2 linked regions of the Tribolium castaneum genome follow. The protein of the gene in region 2 interacts with the protein of the main gene of each other region in a biochemical or structural test. Links are inferred from orthologs where the notes say so. Each region holds a gene or a part of one and is shown on either strand. Other genes may lie near its edges. The genes, in order: cpx and synaptosomal-associated protein 25.

Region 1 (3,828 bases), on a different chromosome or scaffold from region 2:
TTTAAGTATTTTATCGCACCTTTATTTCATATGCTTAGAGTACGAAATTTTGAACTTTAATGAATATGGAAATATGATATTGACACGGAATTTTATGGATATATATTTAGAGCGCTGTATTTCTATATTCGACAGTTAAAATAAAAAAAAAATTGAAATTACTTAGCAAAAAAGTCGTAACTACAAAAAATATTTCTTAAAGAAACTTAAACAAATGAGAGCTAGATATTAGCATAATAAATTACCGAAAATGCAATAAAAAGAACTTATACAATGCTTATACACGGTCTTGTACATATAGGGTGCTAATATGTATGGATACAGCCACATTTTTTTATTAAAATGTGTTCTTTTTCAATTAAAAGTGTTATTTTTTTCTATAACAGATGTTAAACTATTACTTTATCGACTTTTTTGAGTAGATAAAATAGCACTTAACTGCAAATGTAGATAAAATATTTTAAATTTTTTTATTCAATTAAATTTACAAATTCCAACATCTGAATTTAAAAAATTTGTAAGGTTACCAATAACTTTTTTTTCTTAAACTTGCTCTTGCTATAGAAAAAATATTGTATTATACACGACGATAAAGTTGTCCACTCGTGACTTCATCACTCTTGATCTTAACCTTTTCACTCGTAGATAAACAATCCCTTTATTGTCTTAGGGTCGGTTTCACCGTTGTAGAATAAATCCAGAGAAACGATTGTTATAATCATAGCAACGATTATTTTTAACTATTTATTAAATTTAACCAACGCTGATGAAACCGACCCTTATGCAATAAATAACTATTAACAGTTATTATTACCTTTTACTTATTTTTGGGTCAAAATTCAGCCGGCAACTGGCTTACATTCGATAAAGATAAAAATTCTAAAGCTAGAAAAATTTTATTAGTTCGATAATTTTTTTTAATAAGGTATGTACGTGTTCACAGAACTCAGAAAAAAAAGGTTCTTAAAAATATAAAATTTGAACTTTCTTGCCATTTAAAAAAAATCAAGTTAGTCTTGTATCCACAAAACACATGGAGATTAAAATTTTATAAACATCTGAGACGACAGAACTAAAATGATTACTTTTAAGCACATACCAAAACTCATTTAGTTTTGTTGAATAATTTTTATAATATTTGACTGTATCCATTCATGTTTAACCATGGGGTTGAACAGAATTTTTGGGAAAAATTAGAGCAAGAATTTTCCGTAAAAGTTGCAAGCATTTCCGCGGCATCAGCGAATGCCAGCAAAATGTCTTAAGTGGGTCACCTGACCAGCGACAACTAAGCAATAACAATAATGTGTTTAAAATTTAAATGGACAAATTATTATTGAAATTAACATTGTTTTAGAGTAACTGTTCTAGTTTGTAAGTAAATTTAGTGTATATTCAAATTATTTTTGTAATAAAATCAGTATGAACTTAATTCCGAGTTCTACTCATTCACAAATACAATATAGACATTTTTATTTTTGGGACAAATTGTACCAAACAATTAAACAATTGTCCGGCAATATCTTTTTAAATGTTTTCAAGAGTTCTTGTTTTTTTCCAAGAATACACCATTCGGTCTGTTTTTGTGAGCGAGTTATTTGAAGTTGTAGTTTTTTTTTAATTTTAAAGTAAAAAATGTAATTCGATAGATTCTTTATCCAATCCACTCCTAATTTTAGCTTTTTCACACTATACGTTAGCCATGTCGCGTAAATACAGGCTAAAAGCTTAATTTTTGTTAATTTGTACTGCCTGAGCTGAAAGTTATATTTTCTATTTTCTTATAGCATAGAGTTACATGCCCTAAGTCCTGAAAAAAATTTGAAAAATGGAACACCTCACGTTTCCGAAATATTTAATTAATAATACTTATCTAAATACTTATTTTGTACCTCGATTTTTTTTTGTATCAAATATCAAATATGTGGTTCGTAGAAATGTTAATTACAAGTACTTACTACACATTAAGATTGTATTATTTGGACTATTTAACATAATTTGAGTTCTTTATTAGGTTTCTCATTTATTTATACAATTTCTTGAGATACGAGTTTCTTGCCAATAAGTAATTTAGTGAAATCTCTTTAAATTTAACTATGCGTTTTCCCGTGTTAAAATTTTAAAAACGTCTACAAAAGTAGTGTGACTAACTGCTAATGCGCTTAGCAGGGCAGTTTATACATATACTTTTGTGTAAATTTATGTAAATTTTAGAATCCAAAGAATTACTTCAATTATTATCCCATTTTAAATCCACAACAAAAAAAACCTCCTTCGTCGCAAAATACATTAAATATAAACCCAACCGTGTATTTTGAAAGAAACCGTACATGGTACTAGGATTATTTTGCAAATTTGGGATCAGGTTGCATTATTCCTGGAATGGCTATCCAGGAGGTAGTGAATTTTGCGCATAAACTCGGCCTTTGTGCATGAAGTGTATCTTGACTGGAGCATTGTGGCAATGATTCGTCGGTTTCAGGAGCGGTCGGTGGCGATGACGACGGCGACGACAAAGAAAAGGAGGAGGAGGCCGAGCGGGAGCGGCTGGAAGCCATCCGCGAGGCTGAGGAGCGACGAAAGGAAAAACACAGGAAAATGGAGGAAGAAAGGGAAAAGATGAGACAAGAAATCAGGGACAAGGTCAGTGCAAACGATCGATTTTTCGAATTGTCGTGATTTATATCAAATGACACACGATTAATCAACGCCCGGTGTATTGTACGCGTGAGTTAACGAGCCGTGAGGAGTCGCATGATGTATCTGCGGTTGTCACGTCTGACCCCTTCATAATTCCATAATGGGAATTATCGAAATGTCAACTCGATCGACATCGATCCGGAGGAAAAAACGCGCCGGCCTTGGCCCGGAACGAGAATAACTCCGGTTTAAATGTTAGCCGGGCACGCCCGGAATGCGATTCCTTATCGCAATTTTTGAGCAGTTAAACGGCGTGCCGCCGACGCTACCATTATTGACAGTCTATTTGTTCGGTTATAATACGCGTAATCAGCTTTGTGTCGTGATTATTGCAAATTGCTTAATGTGCCTGAAGAGGAACAAGTCGCAAATTAATTAATCGATTTGTAAACTAATTCGAGTTTTGATTCTAGACCGGCGCATCCACCATTTTACATATTAGCGTACTTTGCACTTTATATTACCCGACATACATTACAGTTGCTTTCCTTGAGCGCTATGCAGCGGAATACAGTCCAAAAATGCAACTTGTATGCCGGCTTTTTCTGTTGTAATATCAGTTGTTTACCAAAACTTTAACAAACAAAAAGTGTGATACGGAAGAGGGGAACAAACAAAAAGGAATAATACAAAAATTTTCTTTTATAAATATTAGACCAGAAGTTTCGGATCGACTATTGTCAAGTTCTCAACTCTTGGAAGTTATAATTTTGTGCAAGAAAATCTATTTTAATGCACTTTTCGCGAAAAACTCCGTCTATTTGCATTACTCGGATTAGTTTACATATTAAAGTTTATCATGGAATTGAGAGTGTTTATTTTTAAAAATAGAACCCAAGCACTTTCCATTTACATATTGCGAAAGTTTGTTCCTTATGTAACTGTACGTATAGTCACGAGCGTAGAGAATGACACCCTTGTGAACTGGGCTGAGCTTAAATCGCAACCACAAATAATAATTTAGACTTTATTATTTTATTTTGTTTCGAATATTATAAAAAATACTTGGTGGCTGTTAGTGGAAATATAGGTCGTAAAAAATGATTCTTCTTAATTTGCAACGTTTCGACAACAGCCGTTATTCTTAGCTCCACGTTTTGAACCGATACTTTTGAATCAAAATTTCGT
Region 2 (4,628 bases):
TTTTGCTAAGACAATAAATTAAAATGCATCTTCAGTCACTTCACCAAGATGCTTTGAGCATTTCGATGACGTAACGTCTTTATCATTTCTTATTAATTAAATATCACTCGTCCATCTTAACACTATCAAAAAACTAGCACTAAAACTTAAATACTGTACATAATTAAAAACAGAAACTTTTAAATAATGGAAGATGTCAGGACAAAAATATTCACACCCGTTTGGGAACAATTTGGATATGACTAATCACAGTGATTGCATTTTAACTAGAAAAAAAGGCTGCATGCCTTTCAGGCTTCCGGTCCTGTTCCCCTAACAATTTTTTATAAACTGTTCCAAACATCAACAAAAACAATTCGTTCTGAACTCGCCCCCAACAAATCAATTTTTGATAGTTTCGAAACTGAGCTAACCGACAGGGCAAGTTCCTTGTGATTCTAGTGCATATACCAACAATATATACAGTTACAGCGACAACCTTATGTACAATGTGGACTCAACAACTTCAATCTTCCAAAAAAACTCACATCACATTTAGTAGGTATATGAATACTTGGTACAAGTTATGTACTAGAGCTAAGTAAGCGCCGGCAATTAGCACCACACCTTGAGAAAATCGCATAAGTAACATCCGTTTTTTCCTGCATGAACTGGGATTTAATCCAAGAAGAGTGCAAATTTTGTGCTTCATCCTAACTAGACAGTTTCACAAAGAGCTAATACGTGTATGTTAAGCGTTCACAAGTGTACGAAATGAGCATAATTAGGAACGTAATTCATTGCATCATATCGCTAAATTAATTTAGAAAAATCGAGATATTAAACGGCTAGCTCTACTGGATGCAGCAATAACCGGCCATGACTTTTTAAATATTAACTATTACATTATAATGATGTTATAGTAATACTCGTAAACTAGTAACACTAAGCCATAACATTGAGAATTGATAGAAGAGTATAAAAGGCGACTTGTGTCCCACTCCCCTTAGGACTTGAGGAGTTTGTTGGCACGCTGGTTTGCCACTGCAATGCGCGTTTCGTTGCTTTCACCCTAACCAACAAACATATAACCAGTGTGCCCCATCACAAAAAACTACAGCCCAACCTGATCCGGCCCCACACTAATAAAACAAGCGCAAATTGCGTCAAAACAACCAAAAACGGTTAATTTCGTTTCTTAAAGTTTCTCCAATTGTAGAAAAATAACAGGAACGGATCAGGCTTGCAATCAAAGTCTGTAAAAATATTAGTGTTTTTGTGTTGTGTGTCTACTTGAGGAGATCGTGGGCACGCTGATTGGCCACCTCTATCCTTGTTGCATTGGACTCGCCCTGATTCGGACCATTAGTAGGTAATGTACGAGTAGATGTAGTGTCGTGAAGTGAACGGCAATGTAAACAAACAACACCAAGATTATTAAAATTCACAAGCAAATCCATCAGAAAATTATTCGTAAATGCTAGCGCAAATCGGCAGAAGCTTTTTGAAAAAAATAAAACGAAAATATTTAGAAACCAATCAAAGAGTGCATTTAACGCTCCAGTGCTCGCAAATAAACACCCCACTGGTTCAAAAAGCTCGACGCGCCAGGCGAGGCTGCTCAAACTCACAACCACAAAAATTTCATTTTTATTTGTCTAGTAAAACAAACAACCATTAAATGGGTCATTTGGAAAAGAAAACATGCCCTTTTTTCTGTGATTTCCTTCTCTTTGCAAGCGGCCTTATTTTAATTATCATTTGTATAGTGTTTGAAACCCTTTTAGCAAAATTAGTATTTGATTATGTTGAAAACTTATATTTGTGGACATGTTGCCGTTTCCAAATTACTGGTTCAGTGCTTCTTATTTGAGAAACCCCCCCTCCAAGTTCGTAACTAACATACTTACCACCGTTAGCGTTTAATTAAATTAAGATAAAATCCAGTGCTAGCACAATATCGAACGAAAACTTGTAAAAATCGGCCGTAGTTACCTTGAGATTGATACGATCGACCTGTCTGTTTTGATTCTCCAACTCTGAGCCCATGTCGATGGCCATGTTGCGCAAATTTCCGATCATGGTATTAACCTGTCCCATGTTTTCTTCCATTTCTTCCTCGCGTGCGTCGTTTGTGATACGTCCGATGTATCCTCCCTGCGGCCCAAGACCGTTGCGATCGTCCATCATTCTCTGCGGCTGATTATTCACGACTTTTCCGTCGTCGTTACCCTTCCAAGTGCCTTCGTCCTCTTTAAACGACGACCCTCTGCGATAAAATAAAACAAATCTCGTGTCGTATACAAATCTAGATCGCCTGAAGGACTCACTTCTGACATGGTAAAACGCACAGTCCGCAACATTTTTCCATCCCCGTGAGGTTCTTTTCGGCTTCTCGCATATCGGCGTTGATTTGGTCCATGCCATCCTCGATACGGTCCAGTTGCTCTGCGCAATATCGACTTCAATAAGCATTTGGACGAGTCCGAGGCGATTTAGCACATTAACTCGCTATAGTTTGAAATGTGTATGCGTTTGATGTGTGTGTCAGAGTTGGAACAAACCGCATGCACATGCCACTATTCTACTCGGGAATCCCCGAATCCAGGTCAGGGACTCGGTTAATGCACTACAGTTCTAGATGTTTTAGTAAGCAGACTAGTATTCAGTAAAATTCATGCTACTCGAGATGTTTATAAGAACGACCTGAGCTGGGAAATATAATAAGAGAACTGACAGTGTGAAATATACACGTTTAACGGTTATGTGAGTTAGTGTTAACTTACTTCGACAGTGTTAATCCTTCATGTATGTTGTTGTCTTTGAATCATGTATTATATTATCCATTACAACGTTATTTTTATTGATGAAGGTTCACGCTGAAGTGCTTTCGTTTCGAGACATTCGAGTAAAATTTTTATAATGTAGGTAAATTTTAAGAGACGAAAGCATTTCAACTGCTGACTGTACTTCATTGATTTGTTTTGGACACGTTTCAGTTTTAGGAGGATATGGGAAAGTTGTGCAGGACGATTTGGGTACACATTTCCTTACTTATCCGTCCCTCGAATCGTTTTATTTTACGCCCGGCTGGCTGCTGTCGTTCGATTTTTAAGCGCCTCCGTGCGATAAATATTTTAGAATTCCACATATTTCATAAAAAACAAACAGTACGAGAACAATAAATAAATTAAACACCGTATTGACATTTTTTTTAAATAAAAAATGCTCCTTAATTATTCACTAAAATATTTCCCGAGGATGTCGGGTTTTTAGCAAACAATAAATAAAAAATATTCTTAGTAAAGTTCAATAATGCGTCCAAATCCAATCCAATAACCCTCTGGACAATTTAGGAAGTAGTTCAAGCGAAAATGTATGCCTGGAGAGGAAGTTAGAAACTTCTTCGAGCATAAATCAAACACAAACTCCTATTGAAATCGAGCATTTAATTAACGGCCTTCAATTATTAACTACCGGCTTTTTTGTAATCCTCTCGCCCTGCACAACTAAGAGACTGTGTCATAAATCTGTATCGTCAGGTAAGATTGGGAGGGCAAAAGTTCAACTGAGAATGTCGTGTGGTTCGGATCTAAGGAGTGAGAATTGTTCAGTTAATTGTGGGTGAATTGGAATATAAAGAGAGACACAGCGAGACTAGATAGTATGCTTACCGCCCTGTTCATCCAGCATGACCAGGGTTTTCATCCCGACCTCGTGGCTCTACAAACATCAAGACAATCAGCTTGGTAACCTGCGTCCGTTCTCACCATGTTCTCCCCGTTAAATAAGTGAGTCAGTTGGGCGAACACAAGCTAATGTGTTAGCCCGACTGGCGTTGTTAGTCCCTTCGACACCTATAGATAAGTTAATCCACCAAACAGAGACCTGTTAGCCCACCACAGGTGTAAAAAATGAAAACAAACTCAACACGGTCTTTGCGAGAAAGAGCGCATTGCAATTAAATCCCCAATAAAGCAATGGTTAATCAACACCTGGACACTTCGAGTGCTTACCGCCTTGATGGTGGAGCATTTCCATAGTCTTGGCGCCGGCATCGGTACTCTACAACATCACAGTGGCTAGTAGCATACTTACACGACAATACACAGCACACCACTAAACCACAACACCCAGATAAATATCAAAAAAGATGTGGAATGAAGCAGAATAACACACAAGTAGTGAAAGCAGTAAGACAAGCTAAAGCCACCATAGCATGCAAAACGTGTGGGAATGCAAAATGTATATCAGTCTGTATCCATGTAAAATACATCACATTTAAAATGATGATGGATGGCGCCACAGCTCGTGACTTAAGTCACAGCCGTGCGTGAATATGATGAGGTATACACAAAAATTTGAGTCACAATGACGGATCTTGGGTTAAATGATATTTGGGTTAAGTATGATAGAGTGAGTGGAGAGAGACTCACCTCCCTGGTCATCAAGAGCGACCAAGGTTCGGATTCCAGCCTCCTTGCTCTACAGCAGCACAAAACAAGTGTACACTGTTTGTTAGTATAGATGTTAAGTGGTACACGCCCGCTACAGATAAGCACTCAGTATATTATTTGTTCAGTTCGAAGAGATAGAGAAGAGATTTATAGAGAGGAAGTTAGAGAGCGAGTGGAATGGGTAGCCCGGCA

What was found.
Region 1: the proteins of synaptosomal-associated protein 25 (region 2) and cpx are reported together in a solved structure, tested with the Homo sapiens proteins (2 studies listed by BioGRID, with this or other methods). The link is inferred for Tribolium castaneum from reciprocal best matches to the Homo sapiens genes SNAP25 and CPLX1.

Annotation. Positions count from the first base shown.
Region 1 is NC_087395.1:18,246,940-18,250,767, forward strand, and holds part of cpx (complexin), read left to right. Parts: intron 1-2,482; coding exon 2,483-2,643; intron 2,644-3,828. UniProt on the Homo sapiens protein: Positively regulates a late step in exocytosis of various cytoplasmic vesicles, such as synaptic vesicles and other secretory vesicles.
Region 2 is NC_087396.1:11,305,114-11,309,741, reverse strand, and holds part of synaptosomal-associated protein 25, read right to left. Parts: intron 4,465-4,628; coding exon of another isoform or gene 4,416-4,464; intron 4,045-4,415; coding exon 3,996-4,044; intron 3,703-3,995; coding exon 3,654-3,702; intron 2,428-3,653; coding exon 2,310-2,427; intron 2,249-2,309; coding exon 1,975-2,248; intron 1,332-1,974; coding exon of another isoform or gene 1,269-1,331; exon of another isoform or gene 1,052-1,268; coding exon 986-1,051; 3' UTR 1-985.